4 linked regions of the Arabidopsis thaliana genome follow. The protein of the gene in region 1 interacts with the protein of each later gene in a biochemical or structural test. Each region holds a gene or a part of one and is shown on either strand. Other genes may lie near its edges. The genes, in order: PHYA, PP5.2, COP1 and PKS1.

Evidence for each region.
Region 2: the proteins of PHYA (region 1) and PP5.2 form a complex in vitro, tested with the Arabidopsis thaliana proteins (one study listed by BioGRID).
Region 3: the proteins of PHYA (region 1) and COP1 form a complex in vitro, tested with the Arabidopsis thaliana proteins (one study listed by BioGRID).
Region 4: the proteins of PHYA (region 1) and PKS1 form a complex in vitro, tested with the Arabidopsis thaliana proteins (one study listed by BioGRID).

The regions. Positions count from the first base shown.
Region 1 is NC_003070.9:3,094,702-3,101,744, reverse strand, and holds PHYA (phytochrome A), read left to right. Parts: upstream 1-1,914; 5' UTR 1,915-2,317; coding exon 2,318-2,322; intron 2,323-2,521; coding exon 2,522-4,587; intron 4,588-4,785; coding exon 4,786-5,602; intron 5,603-5,672; coding exon 5,673-5,963; intron 5,964-6,045; coding exon 6,046-6,247; 3' UTR 6,248-6,542; downstream 6,543-7,043. UniProt on the Arabidopsis thaliana protein: Regulatory photoreceptor which exists in two forms that are reversibly interconvertible by light: the Pr form that absorbs maximally in the red region of the spectrum and the Pfr form that absorbs maximally in the far-red region.
Region 2 is NC_003071.7:17,811,412-17,818,364, reverse strand, and holds PP5.2 (protein phosphatase 5.2), read left to right. Parts: upstream 1-1,592; 5' UTR 1,593-1,810; exon of another isoform or gene 1,811-2,215; intron 2,216-2,412; 5' UTR 2,413-2,468; coding exon 2,469-2,544; intron 2,545-2,652; coding exon 2,653-2,822; intron 2,823-2,897; coding exon 2,898-2,969; intron 2,970-3,325; coding exon 3,326-3,476; intron 3,477-3,645; coding exon 3,646-3,807; intron 3,808-4,146; coding exon 4,147-4,255; intron 4,256-4,334; coding exon 4,335-4,452; intron 4,453-4,725; coding exon 4,726-4,873; intron 4,874-5,031; coding exon 5,032-5,280; intron 5,281-5,370; coding exon 5,371-5,496; intron 5,497-5,590; coding exon 5,591-5,691; intron 5,692-5,776; coding exon 5,777-5,851; intron 5,852-5,969; coding exon 5,970-6,029; 3' UTR 6,030-6,430; downstream 6,431-6,953. Other genes in the region: HVA22F (HVA22-like protein F), read left to right, coding at 64-110, 209-235, 313-435, 527-779, 879-905. UniProt on the Arabidopsis thaliana protein: Isoform 2 dephosphorylates phosphorylated phytochromes, with a preference toward Pfr forms, and enhances phytochrome-mediated photoresponses, probably by enhancing their stability and their binding affinity for light signal transducers such as NDPK2.
Region 3 is NC_003071.7:13,975,958-13,983,902, forward strand, and holds COP1 (Transducin/WD40 repeat-like superfamily protein), read left to right. Parts: upstream 1-1,923; 5' UTR 1,924-2,042; coding exon 2,043-2,360; intron 2,361-2,699; coding exon 2,700-2,777; intron 2,778-2,911; coding exon of another isoform or gene 2,912-2,915; coding exon 2,916-3,071; intron 3,072-3,328; coding exon 3,329-3,679; intron 3,680-4,249; coding exon 4,250-4,407; intron 4,408-4,501; coding exon 4,502-4,567; intron 4,568-5,094; coding exon 5,095-5,173; intron 5,174-5,463; coding exon 5,464-5,619; intron 5,620-5,715; coding exon 5,716-5,814; intron 5,815-6,420; coding exon 6,421-6,525; intron 6,526-6,667; coding exon 6,668-6,847; intron 6,848-6,932; coding exon 6,933-7,043; intron 7,044-7,154; coding exon 7,155-7,325; 3' UTR 7,326-7,652; downstream 7,653-7,945. Other genes in the region: AGO6 (Argonaute family protein), read right to left, coding at 108-326, 424-629, 717-899. UniProt on the Arabidopsis thaliana protein: E3 ubiquitin-protein ligase that acts as a repressor of photomorphogenesis and as an activator of etiolation in darkness.
Region 4 is NC_003071.7:853,562-858,257, reverse strand, and holds PKS1 (phytochrome kinase substrate 1), read left to right. Parts: upstream 1-1,532; 5' UTR 1,533-1,789; coding exon 1,790-3,109; 3' UTR 3,110-4,181; downstream 4,182-4,696. UniProt on the Arabidopsis thaliana protein: May be responsible for light-regulated cytoplasmic sequestration of phytochromes or may be a negative regulator of phytochrome B signaling. Component of the network that modulates the very low-fluence response (VLFR) branch of phyA signaling.

The sequences.
Region 1 (7,043 bases):
TCTACTTCTTATACATAAGTAACCATTGACATTGTTTATTACAGTGACGATAACAGATTTTAAATGTTCTTTTTAATACGGAAGTTTTGGTGTAAAGAACCATTTTCTTTATTTTCGTATATAGATTATTGGCCTTGTTTCACACAAATACACACATTAAAAACCGAGAAAACACATGGTAATGAACAGTTGTTTTGAGAGTTCAATATCAAAAGAGTGAAAATGAAATAGCTCTCAAAGGGCGCCTTAAAGTTCCAAACCATCACATCCCTAGTGATTGAAGCGTTCTTGGCCGGCCATTAAGAAGTCTCCTAAGCTCATATTTGTTTTGTTCTTCAAAGTGTTATTCCTGAAATGGGATTAGTACCTTTTGCCAATTCAGATATGTGCAACATGGGCCATGACTATGTCTAATGGATGATACTGTGTTGCTAGGACAACATTTGCATTATGGAGGCACATTTTTGGTCCAACATAGCTGTGCCACAATATCTATGCTGAATTGCGCTGTCTAGATAAGACGTTGTCGATTCGATCTTCTCCGGAGATTTACTGCAAAAAACTTAGGGGGAGATTTAACTTTAAGAGGATAGAAGCAAAATACCTAAGAAAACATGGTAACGTGGATTTGCGATAAGAACGAATCGAAGTTTGACAATGATGTTAAAACGATATGGATTTTGTTTGACGAAAAAAAAATAAAACCTTAATAACGATTTTTTTACCCTTTTTATATAAAAAATAAAACAAATTTAAATTCTTCGAATAAACTTAAATTAGTTTTACAAATTTTATTACTTTCTTTCAACGATAAAAAAAAATACAAAAAAGGAAAGTCCCAACTTTGAAGTAAATCCCAGAAACAGATTACAAAACGCAAAAAGCCGAGAAAACGTGAAGCCCATAAGACTATCGTTGTCGTCTTCCTCAAAACCCAACTTTCTACTTCTGGTTACTGCCTTCATTAAACAACTACCACCATCTTTCTTTCTCTCTCTCTTTCTCGTTTTTTTATTTTATTAATAATCTTTTTTTTTTTTTTTACTTTTGATCTCTTATCCTTTGGACGATTCTCTTCAATCGGATTTATAAGAATCAACCCCATTTTGTTCTTCTTCCACTTTACTTCTTTTTTCCTCATTACACAGTCTTAGTCACATCGGTGAAAATATCAATTAATATTCCCCAGAAAGTTGCCAAGATTTACAAGTAGTAGTACTTGATATATCTTAAGCCCACTGTTCTGTTTTAGCGAGGAAAATGTTACCGGCGAAGCCGACCCTGTTCTTGATATGTGTGTGAAGTTTGTCTTTTATCCAAATTAAGCTTTTTTCTTCTTTTATTTTATTCCATTATAAAATATACAAATCGCCCATACTCCGAGACATGGGCATACGTATTCGGGGTGGTCCCATTCATCGTCGTCGTCTGTGTTAGGGAGCACAAATAATAGAGAGGCGTAGCACAAGAGAGAAGGTGGTGATCGAGGCCAAGATTTAGAATTTAACTATAACAAAAAGCCTCTGACGAGTGTGACTAGTCACAAGATCTGATCATGGCTTCTTGAAACTTCTTCTTCTTCTTTCTTCTCTTTAAAGGTACCTACTTTCCTTTTCCCAAAGTTTCCTCCTTTTTTTTCTTTTTTTAACTATATATATTGAAGCTTGCTTCGATTGATTTCTGCTGGGAGCTTACCAGCTAGCTACTGGTCTCACTCTTCTTACTGAAATTGATTCTAACTTTGAAGTTAATTTCTTAAAGCTATCCTCTGTTGTCATCAATACCCTCTTGTTTTCTGCGATATAAAGGTTTTGTAGGTCTCTTTCGATCTGGCTTGATGTGTGTTTGTTTTACTCAACTTTTTATAGTGTGTGATCATTTATGAGAAGAAGCATCCAATTAATTAATCTCATCCTTTTATCGCTTTTAACTCCTACGATTGCTTTCCCTGTGGGGACTTTATTGTTCCTTTTGAAAGGTATAGCTAGCTATAAAGACTCTTAAGAGTTTATTATTGAGTCTACTTTATGTATGTAGCTGTGTTTGAATCTTGAGAGGCTGATATTAGCTCAGATCCTCGTTTTGTTAGTATTTGTGTAGTGGATTTACCCTGTTAACTATCAACTATTATTTGTGCGACTTGTTCATAGTCAAGATGTTGTTGATTTTGGATTGTAGGATGACTTAGAAAGGAAGTGTTCATGGAATCTGACTGGTTCAGTTACTTTGAAAATGATAAATCATTGAACCTTGGAATATGACACGATGATTCCTGCATCTGTTGCGTCCTGTTTCTGGGTTTAGCTATGTATTCTCGATGGAGTTAGTCAAGTTCATAACTCTTTTTACTGTGTGTTTGAAATTCTGAATTGGTTCTTAGTGTTTCAAGTTTATGCTTATGCATTCGCTTGTATGACTGGTGATGAATGTTTTTGTGTTCATATGATTATGGCATGAATGTTTTATTCCCTCTTTTATCAGAGTTTTGCACTTATTTTTTGTTGTCTTGTCTCTGTGTCAGGAAAAAAATGTCAGGCTCTAGGCCGACTCAGTCCTCTGAGGGCTCAAGGCGATCAAGGCACAGCGCTAGGATCATTGCGCAGACCACTGTAGATGCGAAACTCCATGCTGATTTTGAGGAGTCAGGCAGCTCCTTTGATTACTCAACCTCAGTGCGTGTCACTGGCCCGGTTGTGGAGAATCAGCCACCAAGGTCTGACAAAGTTACCACGACTTATCTTCATCATATACAGAAGGGAAAGCTGATTCAGCCCTTCGGTTGTTTACTTGCCTTGGATGAGAAGACCTTCAAAGTTATTGCATACAGCGAGAATGCATCTGAGCTGTTGACAATGGCCAGTCATGCAGTTCCTAGTGTTGGCGAACACCCTGTTCTAGGCATTGGGACAGATATAAGGAGTCTTTTCACTGCTCCTAGTGCGTCTGCATTGCAGAAAGCCCTTGGATTTGGAGATGTCTCTCTTTTGAATCCCATTCTTGTGCACTGCAGGACTTCTGCAAAGCCCTTTTATGCGATTATCCACAGGGTTACAGGGAGCATCATCATCGACTTTGAACCCGTGAAGCCTTATGAAGTCCCCATGACAGCTGCTGGTGCCTTACAATCATACAAGCTCGCTGCCAAAGCAATCACTAGGCTGCAATCTTTACCCAGCGGGAGTATGGAAAGGCTTTGTGATACAATGGTTCAAGAGGTTTTTGAACTCACGGGGTATGACAGGGTGATGGCTTATAAGTTTCATGAAGATGATCACGGTGAGGTTGTCTCCGAGGTTACAAAACCTGGGCTGGAGCCTTATCTTGGGCTGCATTATCCTGCCACCGACATCCCTCAAGCAGCCCGTTTTCTGTTTATGAAGAACAAGGTCCGGATGATAGTTGATTGCAATGCAAAACATGCTAGGGTGCTTCAAGATGAAAAGCTTTCCTTTGACCTTACCTTGTGTGGCTCCACCCTTAGAGCACCGCACAGCTGCCATTTGCAGTACATGGCCAACATGGATTCAATTGCATCTCTGGTTATGGCGGTTGTAGTTAACGAGGAAGATGGAGAAGGGGATGCTCCTGATGCTACTACACAGCCTCAAAAGAGAAAGAGACTATGGGGTTTAGTGGTTTGTCACAATACGACTCCGAGGTTTGTTCCATTTCCTCTCAGGTATGCCTGTGAGTTTCTAGCTCAAGTGTTTGCCATACACGTCAATAAGGAGGTGGAACTCGATAACCAGATGGTGGAGAAGAACATTTTGCGCACGCAGACACTCTTGTGCGATATGCTGATGCGTGATGCTCCACTGGGTATTGTGTCGCAAAGCCCCAACATAATGGACCTTGTGAAATGTGATGGAGCAGCTCTCTTGTATAAAGACAAGATATGGAAACTGGGAACAACTCCAAGTGAGTTCCACCTGCAGGAGATAGCTTCATGGTTGTGTGAATACCACATGGATTCAACGGGTTTGAGCACTGATAGTTTGCATGACGCCGGGTTTCCTAGGGCTCTATCTCTCGGGGATTCGGTATGTGGGATGGCAGCTGTGAGGATATCATCGAAAGACATGATTTTCTGGTTCCGTTCTCATACCGCTGGTGAAGTGAGATGGGGAGGTGCGAAGCATGATCCAGATGATAGGGATGATGCAAGGAGAATGCACCCAAGGTCATCGTTCAAGGCTTTCCTTGAAGTGGTCAAGACAAGGAGTTTACCTTGGAAGGACTATGAGATGGATGCCATACACTCCTTGCAACTTATTTTGAGGAATGCTTTCAAGGATAGTGAAACTACTGATGTGAATACAAAGGTCATTTACTCGAAGCTAAATGATCTCAAAATTGATGGTATACAAGAACTAGAAGCTGTGACCAGTGAGATGGTTCGTTTAATTGAGACTGCTACGGTGCCAATATTGGCGGTTGATTCTGATGGACTGGTTAATGGTTGGAACACGAAAATTGCTGAGCTGACTGGTCTTTCGGTTGATGAAGCAATCGGGAAGCATTTCCTCACACTTGTTGAAGATTCTTCAGTGGAAATCGTTAAAAGGATGCTAGAGAACGCATTAGAAGGTAAACTCTCTTCCTAAGTTATGCTGAGTTTGCTAAGAATCTTCCAACTAGATTTCACTATTCAAGTTCCAATTGAGTATCGTGGTCGAAGAAACTTGATGCAATGTGTTGTTTTTGGTTCTTAATGATGGAATTTTGTTTTCCAATTTTATCAAACACTGAAGCCGAGTCTATAACTTCACTTGCTTATCTATGCAGGAACTGAGGAGCAGAATGTCCAGTTTGAGATCAAGACACATCTGTCCAGGGCTGATGCTGGGCCAATAAGTTTAGTTGTAAATGCATGCGCAAGTAGAGATCTCCATGAAAACGTGGTTGGGGTGTGTTTTGTAGCCCATGATCTTACTGGCCAGAAGACTGTGATGGACAAGTTTACGCGGATTGAAGGTGATTACAAGGCAATCATCCAAAATCCAAACCCGCTGATCCCGCCAATATTTGGTACCGATGAGTTTGGATGGTGCACAGAGTGGAATCCAGCAATGTCAAAGTTAACCGGTTTGAAGCGAGAGGAAGTGATTGACAAAATGCTCTTAGGAGAAGTATTTGGGACGCAGAAGTCATGTTGTCGTCTAAAGAATCAAGAAGCCTTTGTAAACCTTGGGATTGTGCTGAACAATGCTGTGACCAGTCAAGATCCAGAGAAAGTATCGTTTGCTTTCTTTACAAGAGGTGGCAAGTATGTGGAGTGTCTGTTGTGTGTGAGTAAGAAACTGGACAGGGAAGGTGTAGTGACAGGTGTCTTCTGTTTCCTGCAACTTGCCAGCCATGAGCTGCAGCAAGCGCTCCATGTTCAACGTTTAGCTGAGCGAACCGCAGTGAAGAGACTAAAGGCTCTAGCATACATAAAAAGACAGATCAGGAATCCGCTATCTGGGATCATGTTTACAAGGAAAATGATAGAGGGTACTGAATTAGGACCAGAGCAAAGACGGATTTTGCAAACTAGCGCGTTATGTCAGAAGCAACTAAGCAAGATCCTCGATGATTCGGATCTTGAAAGCATCATTGAAGGGTATGCTAGAATGAAAGTCCATTTAAAATATGGTTTATCTGTGTTCTTATGTTGGAATTTGACTGTGCAGATGCTTGGATTTGGAAATGAAAGAATTCACCTTAAATGAAGTGTTGACTGCTTCCACAAGTCAAGTAATGATGAAGAGTAACGGAAAGAGTGTTCGGATAACAAATGAGACCGGAGAAGAAGTAATGTCTGACACTTTGTATGGAGACAGTATTAGGCTTCAACAAGTCTTGGCAGATTTCATGCTGATGGCTGTAAACTTTACACCATCCGGAGGTCAGCTAACTGTTTCAGCTTCCCTGAGGAAGGATCAGCTCGGGCGTTCTGTGCATCTTGCTAATCTAGAGATCAGGTAAAATAGATATATTCATAATCAGAATGCATAATATGATGTTAAAAACAGTGCATTGAGGATATTGGGATTATGAAAACAGGTTAACGCATACCGGAGCTGGGATACCTGAGTTTTTACTAAACCAAATGTTTGGGACTGAGGAAGATGTGTCAGAAGAAGGATTGAGCTTAATGGTTAGCCGGAAACTGGTGAAGCTGATGAATGGAGATGTTCAGTACTTGAGACAAGCTGGGAAATCAAGTTTCATTATCACTGCGGAACTCGCTGCAGCAAACAAGTAGTCCCCAAAAGAAAAGGGGTCTGGCTTGATATAAAATAGTCACTGGTTGTTCTTTGCTTGTAACTTTCCTTATCGCTTTTGTTTTCGTTTTCAAATTTCAGTAACGATGAAATATCCATCCATTTACATCTTCTGTTGAACTCTTTTCTGAAGCTGTAAATATGGATGCATATCTAATCTCCTCCTGAGTGTTTTGGTTTCATGATGTATCATTCAAAATAAGTAATATAGGAGAAATGAGCTAATGTTTACGGTCCATGGTTTATCATAATGGCAGAAACTCAAACAAATATTCTATCTAGTTTCATATAATCTCCTTCTTTTAAGGTATTAGAGGTAATGCATGATTCGTGACTATGTTGCAAGAAGTCTTGGTTTCAAACAATTAGCTTTGGCTCAACTCCATGAAGAAGCAAACATAGTTCTTCGAACTTAACAGAGATCTATTAGCTGGCCATATGAAGTACACTTAGTTTTCTGTTAGAAGAAGCACATGGTGTGTGAAGTAAAAAATAAGTTATCATGTTAATTAAGTAATCAGTTTTATTAGACCCATACGTTAAGAGTCTCTCAAGTTGATTATTTTATCTGAAAAGTCAGATAAATTAGCTTACCTGTTTTGAAAGCTTTTAGATTAGATCAACCTCGACTTCTTACCTGTCTTTAGTCAACTTTGAACAAAAAATAATATGGATTATACAAGAAGACGAATACATGAGACTATGGAGCTCAAATGCACACTGAAGATCATCAGTTATTGTTCCTTTTTTATTACAGAAGACAAATCAAAGAAGATA
Region 2 (6,953 bases), on another chromosome or scaffold:
TCACAGTGCTAAAGACGTTTGAGAAAGTTTCTGTTGAAAGAAGAGTAAAAACTCAAAAAGAAAATGGGTTTCATTATTGCGATTGCAAAACGTTTTGATGCTCTAGTTGGGTAGGATTTTATTCAAATTCTGTCTCATATAATAAAAATAAACACTATATTTGTCAAATTTTTAACATTATTTTCTTCCTTTTTCTTGTTGCATGCAGGCCTGGAGTCATGCTTCTCTATCCTCTGTAAGTGATATCAAATCTGAATTTAAATGTTTGGTTTTTACAAATGCAACTTGATAGTTAACTGAATAAATGATTAGGTATGCATCATTTCGAGCAATAGAGAGTCCAACAATGTTAGATGATCAACAATGGCTTACATATTGGATCATTTACTCTTTAATAACGATATTCGAGCTATCCGTTTGGAGAGTCCTTGCCTGGTAATTACAATATTATTCACTAAATTCTGTTACGAATTCAAAAATTTATGCCTATAAAGACAAAAAAATGGTGTTCTTTTGCATATTGTAGGCTACCATTTTGGCCATACTTGAAGCTTTTGTTCTGTATGTGGTTGGTGCTACCAATGTTCAGTGGTGCAGCTTACATTTACTCCAATTTTGTTAGACAATACGTCAAAATTGGGATGAATGTTGGAGGAGGAACGAATTATACAGACGAACAAAGAAGAGTTTTACAGATGATGAGTCTTGATGCTAGAAAATCGGTTCAAGACTACGTTGACCGGTTTGGATGGGATTCTGTTGAGAAAGCAATCAAAGCGGTATATGATTTCTCTTGTTGATCTTTAATATAGTTATGTATATATAATCCAATACATATATTCTGGGAGTTTAACTTCATTATTTGTGTTCAAATGTAGGCTGAAAAAGAAACTAGAAAGCATTGAGATGGAAGATCAAGAGTCAAGAAAAACATTACTCTTTGGTTTGTACATGTATGTACATAGATTGTATAGAGCAATACTATAATGAAAAAGATATATATGTTTGAAAGATTTATGGTGACAAATTTGTGTTCTAGTACTCTATGACCAAAGATACTATTAGAGAAGCCAGTCCAACTCTTTTTGACAACATACATTTGGATGGGTCTCAATTTGATTAAACAAAACATCAGGACACGATTCGAATTAAAATGAGAATACAACACTCTTTTTGACATAAAAATAAAAATAAAATTCAAGCTCGCGCTATATCACAATTGGTGTTTTGCTAATTTCCTAAATCTAATTTTATTCTAATTTAATTATGTAAAATAATAAAATCACATCTTTGGAAGTTTTTAAATGTAATTCATATAACGACAAAAAAAATGTAATTCATATGACGTAAAAAAAATGTGATTAATTTTGTTAGGGTCATTAATCTATATTCTATACTTTAATACTCTGAGATCCGTGATTATTATTATTTGTCCATCTCTATCCACAAACCATACATAAAAAATTGATATATGACGTCAGAAAAAGATAATACAAGTCTACATATCTCTTCGTCCATTTATTTAATTTAATTGGTAAAGAATTGAGTGCGCAAAATTAATAATTTCCAATTTATCAAAAAAAAACACATTAATAATTTTATTTTTTATTTTGTTCAACTTAAAAAAAGAAAAGAACACACATTAATAATTTCCAAAAACCCCTCTTTTCTCATAGATTGAAGCGTATACTCTAATTTGACCAATCTAATCTAGGGTTTCTAGTCACTTGAAGCTTCTCTTAAAAAACCTGTCTCACTCCTCGTCAACCTCTTCCTCTCCCGCTGTCGCCAAGATTGAATCTTTTTTCAGGTTTGAATCTATCTTTAGAGTAATGAGTTTCTCTGATTTCCCGACAAAACATGTCTTAAACGCTGGCTTCCTTCTGTTGTTGTCCAGTTCTGCTTTCCTCTTATCTGGGTTTTAATAGATCCTTTCACAGAATTTGTTTGTAAGTGATATATTTTTTCCACTTGTCACGGCCACGATTCTGATTATTCTTCTAATTCGTTGTTGAGCTGTTATGAAAACGATGCAGAATTTGAAAGTTCACAACTTTTTGCTTCTTATCTATTCGCTTAATGCTTTTTTATCTGTTATGTTTCGTGTTCTTAGCTGGATTTAGTTATGTGCGTTTTTCAAGTTCATTAATGTGTAGGAATGTTTTTCTGTGTGAATGACTTCTCTTCCTCCTATGTATCTCGTTGCATGACTAAAGTCAGTGGCTGTATTACGAAAAATCTATACTTTATTTAGGTTGAGTATAATTTCAATGTCTAAAGCTCTTAAACTAGCTCCCTGTTAAGTAGAAAACTTATTGATGAGGAATTGGCCAAGTGATTATGATTATTGCTATCGTGCATTTGGGCATGACTGAGATAAAACCTTAACTTTACATATTTTCTGTCAATCAGTTGTGGCTTCACCGGATAATAAGGAATTCAGTAAGAGATAAGTTCATCCTGACAACATGGAGACCAAGAATGAGAATTCTGATGTTTCACGGGCAGAGGAGTTTAAAAGTCAGGCCAACGAAGCTTTTAAAGGTGTGTAATTTATCATAAACCTTTACATAATCTTGTGGCATCAGTTTATTTCAACTCTTTTAGTGAGGTACTCCTATCTTTTTGCTTAATGTTGTTTGTTGCTTACAGGTCACAAATACTCCAGTGCTATTGATCTATATACAAAAGCTATTGAACTCAACAGCAACAACGCTGTGTATTGGGCAAATCGTGCATTTGCTCACACAAAACTGGAGGAATATGGCAGTGCAATACAGGATGCATCGAAGGCCATTGAAGTTGATTCAAGATACTCTAAGGTATCATCCTGTGACAAGATGTTCCTGTTTCTTCGTGTATTCAGCCATATTCACTGATTATCTACTGAATCACAGGGCTATTACAGGCGTGGTGCTGCGTATCTTGCCATGGGAAAATTTAAGGATGCCTTGAAGGACTTCCAACAGGTTAGTGTTTCTTGCACGAGCATTGTGCCATTTAAGTTGTTGTCTCTTTCGTTTATATTTGTTAGCTGCTGATCTGATAGTCCTCTTTCTAGTTTACTCTAAACTTTTTGAGTGAGGATCAGCTCAGTTGAGAAATGTCAAAATACTATAGATGAAATGTTGTAGGCTTGTATAGCTTGAACCCACCCAAATGGTCATAACTTGATTGTTTTGGTCTGATCAAGTGATTAGATCCTGGAAACTTGATAGAGTGATAGTTATCTGTCAAAATCTGGTTTGGTGGTCGACTGTCTTGATCTTTTAAGCAAGACTAGCGTGTATGGTATTGTTGACTTGGTCTGCTATATATATTTTAGGTAAAAAGGCTTTCTCCTAATGACCCTGATGCCACAAGAAAGCTAAAGGAATGTGAGAAAGCAGTGATGAAACTCAAATTTGAAGAAGCAATCTCTGTGCCAGTATCTGAAAGGCGTTCAGTAGCTGAGTCCATTGACTTCCATACAATAGGTATCCTTCATCTGTTTGCTTATTTTTTGGTTGTCTTATAGCTTGCAGTTTGTTGTGTCACCTGGTTCTTTCGTCTCTTGTTATGCCATGCCTTTGATTCAGTAGTTGAAAAATGGTTGAATGTAGCTTTAGACTAGTAATCATTCTTCTACCTATTGTCACATAATAGGGAACAAACCCAGATCATCATCCATGCCCACCAAAACGGCTTTAGCAGCAGTTGTTGCAGCAGTAATGGTGGTGGCGGTCCGGGGATTTGCCACAACTGAGATACTCATGGTGTTGGTTTCGGTGGTATTAGGGACATTTTGGTGGGGTAGCTTCAGTGGTAGTAGTGTCTTTTCTCTGGTTAAACCCTCATCCTAGGATCAATGTGGATTGTTTTCATGCATATCAAAACCTGGATAGTTTCCTTTCTTGGAGTCTCAGTTGAGAATTGACAAAGCTCAATGATATTGATGTCAAAAACATCTCAACAGGAGTGGAACATTTCATAGATTTACTAATATCTCTATTTTTGTTTTGTTATGATAGCATACCTCTTTTACTACATTGTAAAAAATGTGTATCCATGACTTGTAGCTTTTAATATTCATTGATAAATGGTGTTCACTGTTACAGAGTTCTTAACCTTTTGTCAATTTACTTATTCTTTTCAATTTTATTGTAGAGGTTGAGCCACAATATTCTGGTGCTAGAATTGAGGGAGAGGAAGTTACCTTAGATTTTGTGAAAACGATGATGGAGGATTTTAAGAACCAAAAAACATTGCATAAACGGTATGTATTGTTTTGGGGGTACTCAACTTAATTTACACAGTTACCATATGTTCATGCTTTGCGGGCACTTTATATGTAGGTATGCCTATCAAATCGTCTTACAGACTAGGCAAATCTTGCTAGCACTGCCTTCTCTTGTTGATATAAGTGTTCCACATGGCAAACATATCACTGTTTGCGGTGACGTTCATGGTCAGGTATGCTTTGGTTTCACCTACTCTCCGAACATAATATTTTAATGTCTCAAATGAATCTGCGAGGATCCACCATCTCCTGTTCTCTTGTTTATATATGTAGAAGTTTTCAATAAACCGGTTCCCATACTATATTTCTGGAATTGGATTTTATTATGAATCATTCTACTTTTCATATCTTGAATTTATTGGCTAACCTTCTACTCCCTCTTGCACTATTAAGGGCTGTATTGTGTTGTATTGGGTGTATGTTTGACACATTGTTTGCTTTTGCAGTTCTACGATCTTCTCAATATCTTTGAGCTTAATGGCCTCCCTTCGGAGGAGAACCCATACCTATTTAATGGCGACTTTGTGGACAGAGGCTCATTCTCCGTTGAGATCATCCTCACTTTGTTTGCTTTCAAGTGCATGTGCCCATCATGTAAGTTCTCTAAAACTTTGTTGTAATAATTCTTTGATGTTCATGTTTTAATTGCTTTTGCTATCACTGGCAAGGATTAAATTATTTACTATTGTCTGATGGGGTTAAAAGTTTCCATTTTAATTGTAAATCGCCATTTACACACCTTTGTACTGCAGCCATATATCTAGCCAGAGGAAACCATGAAAGCAAGAGCATGAACAAAATTTATGGTTTTGAGGGTGAGGTTCGGTCCAAGTTGAGTGAAAAATTCGTGGATCTCTTTGCTGAAGTTTTCTGTTACCTCCCGTTGGCTCATGTTATAAATGGGAAGGTCTTCGTGGTACATGGAGGTCTTTTCAGTGTTGACGGCGTGAAACTCTCAGACATCAGAGCCATTGACAGATTCTGTGAGCCACCAGAGGAAGGTATGTTTCATCATATACATCTTCTGTAAGATTACTTCTCATGTAATTGTGTTCTGTTTAATCATCTTATCTTGCTAATGGTTTATGCAGGACTAATGTGTGAACTATTGTGGAGTGATCCTCAACCTCTCCCTGGAAGAGGCCCAAGCAAGCGAGGAGTTGGTCTATCATTTGGTGGAGATGTGACAAAGAGGTTTTTGCAAGATAACAATTTAGGTTAGTTCACTGTCTTGTTATTATCGGGGTTTGGTTTCGCAAACTAATATTTACTTGAGATAGCTATTAACTTGCATTTTCATGATTGTGGCAGATTTGTTGGTCCGGTCACATGAAGTAAAAGATGAAGGTTATGAGGTTGAACATGACGGTAAACTCATAACTGTCTTCTCTGCGCCAAATTACTGTGATCAGGTAACTCAGACACTCCTGTCTTCTTATTTCAAAACAGCACCCAGTTACTTGATTCTTTACTTAACATGGACTGGTATTGTTGTAGATGGGTAATAAGGGAGCCTTCATTCGTTTTGAAGCTCCTGATATGAAGCCAAACATTGTTACATTCTCAGCAGTGGTGAGTGTAGTCCTCTTACATAGCATTGTTCTTATGAATGTTTCACAGAAGATAGTTCACGGTTTGATTTAGACTCATTCAAACACTCTTCTAATTTTCTGATATTGTTATTTCCCAGCCTCATCCGGATGTGAAGCCTATGGCATATGCAAACAACTTTCTCAGGATGTTCAACTAACCAGCAAAAAGCTTCTTCTACTCAAAATGCTATTCTAAAGACTCAAGACCAGAAGTGGTTCAGAAACATAATGATATAAGTTTTTTTTTCCCTTTATCTTCTGCAGTTTTTTCATGTTGTTCCAGAAAAGGGAGGCCATGATAATTAAAGGTACAGTATCCGGATTTGATCGTTTTTTTTCTTCTTCCTTCTTTTCTGATAAAGATTTTCACTCTTCCTTTAAGCTTATCCAGCAACTTTTGTCCCTTTTGTCTTATGTTGTAAGAGGGGGTAATGTATCATTCTTATTTTAGATGAAAATCTTGTGATTACTCAACAAAAGAGTGACCAAATGACCCCCCAAAACTTTGTACTTAAAATGGTTTCTTGAATCAAAAATCAAAAGGTGTTTCTTTAAAGCTTCTTGTCTGCTTCTTAGAGTCTTTTTGAATGGAGTTTAATTCAAATATTCAAGCAAAGACAGCAAACAAAAACAGAGAGGTCAATAGTGTTGAGTTCTTGCAACAGTTACTCTCGTGTAGATTCAGTTTTTCCCTTATTTGAGTTTGTACAAATGGTGTGACCTGTTTAAATACAACAGTCTAAAGAAAGTTAATAACACTATTGTTTTCCCCACTCTCTTACATGAGCTGTTTCAGATCAAAATACCTGCAGATTCTCCCATGAATTTTGCAGAGAATTTTGACAAAGTATGTGCTTTTGTTTAGCGATGACAAACCACTACTGAATCACAGAATCATAAACCTTGTTTTAGTCCATGCATGGATAGATAGATAGATACATGTACTAAAATGTGGAGAAAGCAAAAGTAGATGGAGTGGTGTCAAATCGTAAAGCACTGATGAAAGGCCTGAGAGATCGAGAAAGCATTACGTGGATTACATAAAAACAATTTACAAAAATTGTCAGATGTTTAAGGGAAGT
Region 3 (7,945 bases), on another chromosome or scaffold:
ACCAACAAAGTGAAAATATGATAATAAAAATTGGTCCATTAGAACGTAGAGTATCTATTTTAATAAAAATATAAACTGCACAAAAGCAAACAGATAGAAAGATTTACCTTTCAGCTGCTTGCTGCCTCAGTACAATGTCAAGCACTCTAAGTGCATCCTGAGCACTCTTATCTGGTGTATAAGCTCCTCTCTGAGTGCCAAGAACAGTCTTCAACGGTATTTCTGCAGCATAATGTATCTGAACCTTGTAACTTCTTGGCAAGAAAGAACGTTTTGATCGCTTGCAAGTACCGGAAGAACTACCACCATCAGAGACACCACAATCACTATAAACTTAACAAGACTGCGTTAGTTAGAAGATCAACAAGATCTATCTTGACACCTTGAAACGATTAAATATCAATCCAGATAAGAGGGACATACCGTTTTGAAAATGACCCTTCCACGATGACTAGAAAGTCAAATTCGTTCTGTGGTAGAGGACCAACAGTATATAAAGTCTTCTCTCCATCATATGCCAACCTTTTACCATCAAGATCAGAAGAGTAAGTCTTGAATAGTTGGTCCATAAGCTTTCTGCTTATTCCTGTCCCATCAACAGCATCACCGTTTTCTGTGGTGATACTAACCTGCAAAAAAGGTACCGATATGTCAAACATCTCACACACGCACAGACACTGATGAAAGAATGCAGAAAAGTGACTAATGAATCTTACAGTGTACTGGTAAAATACTACATCCGGCTGTCTCACAGAAACATTAAAGTGATTGGTGCACAATTCTATTGGGTTGCCTGTGGTTCCAACCCCACGTCTAGTTGTGATGTCATAATCTCGATGGCTGGGCTGTTCTGGTTCTATACTTATGGGTGACAGTGGCAGAGATGAAGATGTCTCCATCCTTCCAGGGGAAAATAATCTGCAAGAGAGAAAAGTGGAGGTTGGTTACAGTGTGCAAAAACCAGTCCAAAACACAATGCTCAGGAGACTAAGAAAGAAAAGAAAAACACCAAATTAAGAAGACAACTCCAAAAGGTAAAAAGCTAAAAACTTTACCACCATTGTCGTTCTAAGATTTTAATTTCTGGGCATATCCTGCTAAATCGCGAGAAATGGTATAAATTTCAGATGAGGAACAAACTTAATCTGGAAAAAAAATGGCACCTTTAACTGTTGGTCGCCTTCAAAATTGAGAAACATTACACAAACAAAAACTCATTCGAGTGTGTCATACAGTAGCATAACAAGACTTTCAAGAGAGAAACAACGCAGCCAAAACCATACAACTATCAACAGACAAATCCTAGCTTCATGCAAATTCTCCGAAAGAGAGACAAAAACAAAACCTAGCTCCGAATCAACAACAATTACAACAGCGATATCTAGTGAAAACAGCGCACCTTTGAAAGAATTAAGAAGAGGATTTCTAGGGTTCCGGTGAATCAAAGAGAGGAATTTATTTAGCTCATTTCTCTTCTCCGTCACAGTCTCTTTGGGTTTCCCAGACAAGCAAAAGAATGGAGGGAACGTTTCCAGTGATGGGAAAATTAAAATATATTTCACTTTTCAGTCATTTTTTACAGTAACAAAATTTAAGAACTGAAATAAAAATGGTTTATTCCAAAATTATTAAACCGAATCCTTCAAAACTTATTCTATTTCTAGGGTTATGCTCCGGTTGAATGGATTGAAATTCCCAACTTATTCATTTCAAATAGTAAGAAATAAAATGAATGGTTGTAAGAAATTAAATTAGACCGTCGTGGTAATTGTAAGAAATTTCATTGAACCGGACTATAAATTAGAAGCCGGATAATTAAACCGTACCAGCGCTTGGAGAAACGCCAGACACACGCGCGAAAAGAAGCGCGTAGACCAGAACGTGTAGGATTTGTCACCTCAGAAAAGAACCACGGTGGATCCCACCACACCTCAGCCTCACTCCTCCTTCATCTCCGACGTCATACCCAAACCACTCTTTTCTCACAATTCCGATTTTCTCAAAAACCAAAATCACAATCGAAGAAATCTTTTGAAAGCAAAATGGAAGAGATTTCGACGGATCCGGTTGTTCCAGCGGTGAAACCTGACCCGAGAACATCTTCAGTTGGTGAAGGTGCTAATCGTCATGAAAATGACGACGGAGGAAGCGGCGGTTCTGAGATTGGAGCACCGGATCTGGATAAAGACTTGCTTTGTCCGATTTGTATGCAGATTATTAAAGATGCTTTCCTCACGGCTTGTGGTCATAGTTTCTGCTATATGTGTATCATCACACATCTTAGGAACAAGAGTGATTGTCCCTGTTGTAGCCAACACCTCACCAATAATCAGCTTTACCCTAATTTCTTGCTCGATAAGGTTTCTTTTTCTAATTTTACTCGTAATTTGTGTTTGGTCCTTAGCTTTTCAGTTCAAGTTCGGGTGTTGCTTGTTTGAGTCTTAGCTTGTAATCAAGTTTGGTTTTTGTCGTGGTTTTTGTGGAAACAAGTAAGCTAGCTTAGTCTTTAATCGATTCCAATGAACCTTGCCATTAGATTTTCTTAGGAAGGTTTTGTTTTGTTTTTGATGTGTAGTATTGTGGTAGGATTCTGCTTATTACAGCTAAATAGAAGCATGTTTATAGGAATGATAGTGTATTGAAACTATTTATCACTGGAATGCAGCTTATTATATGACGTTTATGTATCAATTGTGTAGCTATTGAAGAAAACTTCAGCTCGGCATGTGTCAAAAACTGCATCGCCCTTGGATCAGTTTCGGGAAGCACTACAAAGGGTCGGTTCTTAACAAGCTTTTTATGTTTCATTTTTTCCTCTTTAAGTTTGCTTTCTCAGAATTATTATTGGAGTAAAAAGCAATTCTAAGTCATTTCTTTTGATCAAATATTGACTTCCTGCGTTCATACTTAGACAGGGTTGTGATGTGTCAATTAAGGAGGTTGATAATCTTCTGACACTTCTTGCGGAAAGGAAGAGAAAAATGGAACAGGAAGAAGCTGAGAGGAACATGCAGATACTTTTGGACTTTTTGCATTGTCTAAGGAAGCAAAAAGTTGATGAACTAAATGAGGTTGGTTTGTCTGAATTATGGAGTAGCATTGGGCTACCTATTGATAATTATTCTCGTTGCTCTTCATTCCATTTGCTTCAAAATCTTCACTGGGTTTAGACTGTATAGTTGTTGTAAAAGAAAGCCATAAACCATGTTTCTATCAATAGATGTATGATCTATCCAACTATTCATGAGACGTATAACCCCTGAATGTTAGATGAGATCTCAGAATATTATAGAATTCTGTCATTTATGTCTTCTCTATCTTAATGTAGGTGCAAACTGATCTCCAGTATATTAAAGAAGATATAAATGCCGTTGAGAGACATAGAATAGATTTATACCGAGCTAGGGACAGATATTCTGTAAAGTTGCGGATGCTCGGAGATGATCCAAGCACAAGAAATGCATGGCCACATGAGAAGAACCAGATTGGTTTCAACTCCAATTCTCTCAGCATAAGAGGAGGAAATTTTGTAGGCAATTATCAAAACAAAAAGGTAGAGGGGAAGGCACAAGGAAGCTCTCATGGGCTACCAAAGAAGGATGCGCTGAGTGGGTCAGATTCGCAAAGTTTGAATCAGTCAACTGTCTCAATGGCTAGAAAGAAACGGATTCATGCTCAGGTTTGTTCCTCCTTGTCTACTCAACATCTTTATGCTGAAATGGTAAAAGGACAATGGCATTAAAGTTTAAGATATTTGTCTATTAAAGAATAAGAATAATTACTACAATTAGGCCCCAGTGATTGTGTTACAGTTACTACCATGCCTAGCTACTCAGCTCTTGGTCATCTGGATTGACAGCTCGAGAAATTGAAAGTGGTTGTGGGTAGAGGATGAATCTTCTTACGGAAAAGATACCTTAGATTAAGGCCCACATTTTTGGTGGTCTTTATAAAAAGCCGATTGGACTTCAGAGAGATTGATTTCGTATTGTTTGCACGTAAAAGTAGAAATAGCTTTCTGGACTTTATATCTACTGCTTAGTGATAGTAGCCGCTTCTTGTCTCTCTGGTACTATAGCAACAAAAAGTCACTATGTTCTCTAGACACACTAACAGTTCTGTGAATACTATGCAATCACAATTATAGTAGTTTTCTTGAAAAAACCTGCATGGTCCTTTAATCTCTCTGTAACTGCTTGTTGATATATGCACAGATTGCCTAATTCTGTTAAAGTGTCTTGTCTTGTAGTTCAATGATTTACAAGAATGTTACCTCCAAAAGCGGCGTCAGTTGGCAGACCAACCAAATAGTAAACAAGAAAATGATAAGAGTGTAGTACGGAGGGAAGGCTATAGCAACGGCCTTGCAGATTTTCAATCTGTGTTGACTACCTTCACTCGCTACAGGTAGAGGAGTGACTATCCCTTTTCAATCGGTCTAGCCGTACATAAAGAGTGTTTTCGAATTAGTTGGGGTTTTAATTGCACTCTTTATTCACAGTCGTCTAAGAGTTATAGCAGAAATCCGGCATGGGGATATATTTCATTCAGCCAACATTGTATCAAGGTGAATTTTCTATTCCTTGTTCGTTGATCAGATAACAGATGATAGGTACCAAAAGAATGTCTCCGAATATATCAAAATAGACCCTTAAGTGATTAAGTTTTGTTTAATGTATTGATAGACGCAATTATTACTATGGGATTCGTTGCTGTGTAATTCTAAGCCAGTGAATAGTATGAAGATAAAACTGCTGACATGGTAGGGAGAAGGTTGTGTAGTCAGCAGGCCACTTGAGGAGAATTTTCTAAAAGATGGAACACTATGTTATCCTTATCCATGTCGGAATATATAGAATCGGTTTGCGATCTTTTATATGAAAGTGTCTCTTCTCAATGAAGAGACGAAAGATATATATTTTTAGTTTATGGTCTGGGAGCTCCGGGGCTCATATCTTTTTCTCTCTATGTGCTTTGGTTTATGGTCTTCCATAGTTTACATGCTTTATGCTTTGCCTGGACCTCTAGTTTACCTGTAATTTGATGTACCATCTTACTGATTTTGCTGATGAAGAGGGTGCTGTTCCTTTTCAGCATAGAGTTTGATCGTGATGATGAGCTGTTTGCCACTGCTGGTGTTTCTAGATGTATAAAGGTTTTTGACTTCTCTTCGGTACGTTCATAAATCTTGGAGTGCATTCAATTACATACCAATTGAATCTTCTTGTCCAACCTTATGCTTTTGTGAAACTGATCATGCATCTCAATTCTAAGAAAGCTTCGTTGATAATGAAACTAAGTTATGCTCTTGGGAAATTCTAGCTTTGATGCAAGATAGCCATTTTACACTTTTGTATTGCGTAGAAGAATATAAATCAAAGCTAATCAAATTTTTGGTTTTAATTTTCTGTTTTATCCAATGGACCACGCTGAACTGATTGATTATCGGCTGCTACTTTTCAGGTTGTAAATGAACCAGCAGATATGCAGTGTCCGATTGTGGAGATGTCAACTCGGTCTAAACTTAGTTGCTTGAGTTGGAATAAGCATGAAAAAAATCACATAGCAAGCAGTGATTATGAAGGAATAGTAACAGTGTGGGATGTAACTACTAGGCAGGTGAGTACTTTACCCAAAGTATCTAACATCGCACCTATAAGATATTCATCTCATGAATTCTGCAGCGTATTTGAATTTTTATGTAAACTGAGGCAGAGTCTTATGGAGTATGAAGAGCACGAAAAACGTGCCTGGAGTGTTGACTTTTCACGAACAGAACCATCAATGCTTGTATCTGGTAGTGACGACTGCAAGGTAAATATCTCCATATTTTCCGTTATCACCTTTCATCTCACATTGGGCTATGTCTCATATAAAAAGAATACTACTTTTAGATATCTCCTAGCTCTTATAACTAACTTGGTCACGGATTTGTCTAATTTCTACGACGAACTAAAGAGACATATTGTGAAACAAAACTGGAGAATCTCCTACTTGCTCATTAGTACATTGTGTTCTCATGAATCTTTTCTACTACTTCTTAAACTTTTCTTTGAGTTGTTCTTCCCAACTTGGGGATTGGTCATATGTAGCCCTTCCTACATTGAATGTTTGTTGGTTTCTTAAATTTTCAGCAAAATTTTCCCCTTAGTGTATCTGTGGTGGCTATACATTAGGAAACAAACGAAACTGGACACTTGTATATAGTAGATTTTACCTTGAAATTTTGTAGCTTCATTTGTCCAAATTTAATTAAACGTTATTGAAAAATTCACTGGATTTCTAATTCTGACAAAAGCATATTATACCAGTGGGCTCCTTTTAAGTCAATTCACTACTAGTTAATCCTCAACCATGCATTATTGCATCTGTTAAATCATGTCTCATAGATTAACCAATTGTGCTGTGTGTTTGATCCAGGTTAAAGTTTGGTGCACGAGGCAGGAAGCAAGTGTGATTAATATTGATATGAAAGCAAACATATGTTGTGTCAAGTACAATCCTGGCTCAAGCAACTACATTGCGGTATATACTTCCACGCCTCAACTTTGCATCTCACATTTATTCGCTACCACTCATGATCAGCATGACACTATCACACGTCTCTAGATATAATCTTTAATTAGATAGAGAGACTTAGACGTTTAAGCCTGTTGACTTATCACAGGTCGGATCAGCTGATCATCACATCCATTATTACGATCTAAGAAACATAAGCCAACCACTTCATGTCTTCAGTGGACACAAGAAAGCAGTTTCCTATGTTAAATTTTTGTCCAACAACGAGCTCGCTTCTGCGTCCACAGATAGCACACTACGCTTATGGGATGTCAAAGACAACTTGCCAGTTAGATTACTGCCCGAGCCAATCTTGCAGATTCAGTCAAAAAGAAAAACTTGTCTTGACTATGTTGTTCAATTTTACTTTTCAGGTTCGAACATTCAGAGGACATACTAACGAGAAGAACTTTGTGGGTCTCACAGTGAACAGCGAGTATCTCGCCTGTGGAAGCGAGACAAACGAAGTATATGTATATCACAAGGTTCACAAATCCGAAACCTCTGCTCTCAACTTTAGCATTTTTCATTCATGATTCACAGATTTTCAACCTGTCGTTGCTCAAGTATTTTAAAATGTGAATGATGCGATGCAGGAAATCACGAGACCCGTGACATCGCACAGATTTGGATCGCCAGACATGGACGATGCAGAGGAAGAGGCAGGTTCCTACTTTATTAGTGCGGTTTGCTGGAAGAGTGATAGTCCCACGATGTTGACTGCGAATAGTCAAGGAACCATCAAAGTTCTGGTACTCGCTGCGTGATTCTAGTAGACATTACAAAAGATCTTATAGCTTCGTGAATCAATAAAAACAAATTTGCCGTCTATGTTCTTTAGTGGGAGTTACATATAGAGAGAGAACAATTTATTAAAAGTAGGGTTCATCATTTGGAAAGCAACTTTGTATTATTATGCTTGCCTTGGAACACTCCTCAAGAAGAATTTGTATCAGTGATGTAGATATGTCTTACGGTTTCTTAGCTTCTACTTTATATAATTAAATGTTAGAATCAAAATGCGGTGATGTGAATCGGTCATGAAAAGTCAAACCTTGGCTTATACAAAAGGTCCGACCCATGCAATAAGTCATTAGTATGTTCATGTAGCAAGATCATTGAAAAAAAAAAATCATTTTATAATGTAAAATTCATGAGAATTGACGAATTTGTGTCATAAGTGAAATTATATACAATTACTTAACACCTCTAAATTAACTCATAACAAAGTGATTGTGTGACACATTTTCATAAATTGGTCGTATCAATACTATAAGAGTAACCCTTTTAAATTTGGATACGCAACTAGGGATGGCATGATGTCTATATAAAATCATGCATGCTTTGTGAAGTTTAAATCACATGGCCAAACATTTTAGTTTTCGTC
Region 4 (4,696 bases), on another chromosome or scaffold:
ACAAACACGTATGCTGTGGGATCAATTCGAACCATTCATACGTGATACGTCGACTATAGCAACTAATAAGCATATTTTATTAACTACATTACACAATATTCTTGATTGACAGATACATAGATTTTATGTTTGAATTAATTAATCTTTCGTTATGTTATATTTAACAAAAACAATACACATTATTTGATATGTATTATATGACAAGATACGATTCCATGAATTTTCTAATATACATTACACATAAATTATAGAGCGTACGTCAAATCATAACATAAAATATTACTATATTTAACAAAACCCAACTCGATGGTCTTTGTCAATATCTCCCCATGCAACAAAATACGTACATCCCTCGTGCTTTCTAAGTTTCTATTTTTGTATTTTTGTTCCTCAAGTGAAATCCATATCCACTACTTTTCTAGTTGAAAAAAGTTAGAAGTTAAAATACAAGTAAATCCAGATTCACTTGTCAGCTCAATCCTAACATGTCTTTGAAAATGTGTGTCCGAAAACTTGTCAGCCCATTATTAAGTATGTGAAACAATACTTTAATTTGAAGTAATTAAGAAAAACAATACATTAAATCTACTTTTTTTCTCATGTAAAACTCTTTGACACCATTGGTAAAATCCAATCATTTATCTTCCGATCTTATTGACGATGTCATTAATTTGTTAATTGTATGATGGTTAATAAGTTTATCCAATGTATGTTTTTGTTTAATTTATTTATCCAATGTATTATTTTATTTTAACATACAATGCTAATCAAAATTTTAGTTTAAGTAATTAAGAGAGTCCTTTAAGAATAATAAAAAAATGTTGGTTTATAACAGAGAGTCCTTTAAGAATAATAAAAAAATGTTGGTTTATAACAGAGAGTCCTCAATGCAAATCAGATTGTTTTAAACCTGCACACAATCCAACAAAATCATCTCTTCTTGCTAAAGCTAATCATCTCAATTATCTCACAAGGTTCAACAATCGTATGAATGTGAAGTATATAGCCATACACCCCCATCTGTAATTAACGTGTCCGAACGGATTGTACATTAGAGCACCTCCAATGTATAGGATTCATATAGTTTCTAAAAAAACAAAAAGTATTAATATTTTATTTTTATATCCAAAAAACAAAAAAAAACAACCTATATGAATAATAGAAACGATCCTCCCAATTTTAGAGATTCTCTCTCATCTCTTTTTTAATTTATAATTTTTTTTTGTAATTGTATGAGTTTCTACTAAAAAACTACGGTTGGAGTTGGTTTTAGTTGCTACAAATATAGTAGCAAATGTGTTTTAAATCGGAATCTTAAAAACGTATAGTAGTGCTAAACGTCTACGTACAAAATACGAATATTGAACGTATAAAAAAAAACACTTTCTGAAATCTGCAGGTTAGAAAATTATTTAAGAGATCCAGTTGCAATGTGAGTAGTATACTAGTACTGTTGTATTAATAAGTCCTAATCGAATTAAGACCATATCATTATAATTCCTTTCTTTTGTGGTCACGGGGGTAACATTATTTTTCGATTATTCTCCATTGATTGGCAAAGATTCATTATCCAAATATATAAATAAATCAGTTCACACACACAACAACTGGCCAATGACTCAAACTGGAACCCACTCACATTGATCAGATCATAACACTTTTAGCTTCAGAAAAAAAAAAAAAAACAGCTATCAAACATATCGTCTTGTTACTCTATTTATACCCTAATTCCACATATCTACACACAAGCAATAAAGAGAGAAAAAAATATAAAGCTACCAAAGAGAAAATGGTGACACTAACACCATCTTCTGCTAGTACCCCAAAAACATCTTTTGATTTCATGAAGAATAACAACAGTCACAGCAGTCTCTATGTTTCTTCTTCTTCTTACTTGAGCAGCAAGGAAGATGCTCTTGTCACGACCAAGAAGCTCATGGAACCAAGCAAAACACTAAACATGAGCATTAATCCAAAACAAGAGGAGTTTGGTGATGAGAAGAAAATGGTGAAGAAAGCTCCTGAAGATCCAGAGATTGGTGTGTTTGGAGCTGAGAAGTACTTCAATGGAGACATGGATTCAGACCAAGGTTCTAGTGTTCTGTCTCTGACAAACCCAGAAGTTGAGAGAACCGTCGTCGACTCGAAGCAGAGCGCGAAGAAATCTACTGGTACTCCGAGTGTCCGGTCTGAATCAAGCTGGAATAGTCAGAGCGTGTTGCTTCAGAACAAACTGGTGAATAGCTGCAACAGTTCCTTCAAGGAAAAGAAGAACAGTAATGGTCAGATTCAAAAGGTGACCAATAATAAGAAGAGTTTTCTCGCAAATTTGGGGTGTAAATGCGCATGCTCTGATGGGGATTCTGTAGATGTCGAGGAGAAAACCTCGGTCAAGAGAAGCGCTGATCCGAATATCTCTGTTATCACAATGAGATCTTCTGCGGATATGAACACAGAACTGATCAAGATTCAGAAGCAAGAGGAGTTATCACAGAGGAAGTCTCTTGAAGTTTTTGGATCTCCAGTGGCTATTGAGAAGAAGAGTAGTGTTGTTCAGAAGAAACTACCATTGCCTCCATGGAAATCGAGAACAGAGGAGGACGACACAAAGAGTGAAGGGAGTGATTCAAGCTCGGATCTTTTCGAGATAGAGGGTCTTACAGGGAACCCTAAACCTTTTCTTACGAGGCAAGGAAGTGATCCAGCTTCACCTACGTGTTATGCGCCAAGTGAAGTAAGCGTAGAGTGGAGCATAGTGACAGCAAGTGCAGCAGATTTCTCTGTTATGTCAGAATGTGCAACAAGTCCTGTAAGAAGAAACCGACCTACTCAGATTCCTCGAATCCCTATTACCGCTAAATCAGCACCGCAGAGACGGAAATCGAGTAGCAGCAGCGGAGGGAATGGTTTCTTGATGAGCTGCAAGAGTCATAAATCTGTTATGGTTTCTGGTGATTTAGACAGAAGAAGCAGCATGAACAAGACACAACCGAGTTACGTTCCTAGATTCCCAATGGAGACTACTAAACCTAAGAGTTTCGAAACACGAAGAAGGATCAGCAACAGCTCGATTTCTCACACACAATCATCTCTTCTTTATAGTCAGTGATTGCAAGAAAGTAAAAGAAAAAGATTTCAATCTCTGATCTCTCTTTATCTATAATTTCTACTGAGTGAGAAAGATATGTAAACTTATAATAATGTCTTGTTGAGTCCATGATCAAATCAATTTAAAAGGGTTTCTTAGAGACCTTTTGCACCTAAGAAAAAGTTACTCAAAGAGTGACAAATGATTGGAGAGTGAAAACAAAACATTATGGTCAGTTAAAAACACAGATCTCAAATTCAGCAAAATAAGCAGAGAGACATTCCAAAAATTGGCTCCACCAAGTTTTACCTTTTTTGGATTTAGTCTCAAGACTCAAGAGAGAGAGATATGAGTTTTGTCTTAGCTTGAAAGGGTTAAATCAAACGTACACTAGATTGACAGAAAGAGCTATTAATGAGGAAACTTAAATCAATGAAAGTGTCATATTACCTAACATATCTAAGATCTGGTCCTGAAACTCATCTAAAGGCCATGTATATGTCTGAAATAAAAGTAAGGTAGACAAAACCTTAATTGCTAGTTGACAATATGAGAGAAAAGAACCAAAGTGCCTTACTAAGACAATAAATGCAAAGAAAGATCAAAGATGTTTGTCTCTGTAGCCTACTCATAAGGGAAATGATCGAATTTACCCCAAATGATCTTATCCAGTTCACTGATATTTCTCTGTAAGATATTTCAAAAAGGGCTAATTAGATTTCAAGAAAAGACATAAATGAAACCAAGATGATGACATCAAAGCTAGTATAGCTAGTATGGGCTTAAAACCAAGAAACATACAGATCTTGAAGATAAGTATTGTACCCTTCTCAAAAGATATGAGAAAATAATTGACCACACTATATATAAAAATCTAATCATCTAACTACTTAGTTTTCATATGTGGATGAGAGAAGAACAACAAAAGCAAGAAGACATTTTGTGTTAAGAAAGCAAAACAAGATTACTCATCTTTGAATTCTTTGGTTGGACATTGCCTCAAAGCATCCGCTTGCTCTCTTTCGTCAAGTGAATAAAGGCAAGTTGGTAATGAGATGAGACTCTGATCCCACATGACAAAAAATGGCTGAGAGAAGTTTCTATTTAATTCCATAGAGTTTGTGGTGAAACATTCACTGTCTTGATGTGAAAGGGGTTCGTTCCTCAGGAGCCCACCAAGAGAAGGAGAAGAGTCTTGTGTGGTCGTTTGCTGCATCTCCATTACTTCATGTTACCAAAAGAATACAAAAAAACCCCAAACATAGGTTCAGGAACAGATGATGATTATAGAAATAACAATCTTATATTATCTGACAACAAAGTGGTAACAGTACATCAAAACTAGGATTCTTGACTGTCTCTAGCTATGTGTCAGTTCCTAATATCTTCCACAGAGAGAAGGAAATAATGATCATATGCCAACATAAAGAAAATCAAATCTTTTTAAAGCACCCCTAAGTGTATCATAACATGAGAAAAATAAACCTTTAAAGGAAAGATCACTCGATTTTCACAAAGATAACAATCACAGTGCTCTGCCTCTGATTACCAAGTAACGTTTAATGTTCAATTGCCCCGAGTGAAACCATTACCAGTTATTTCAAGAAG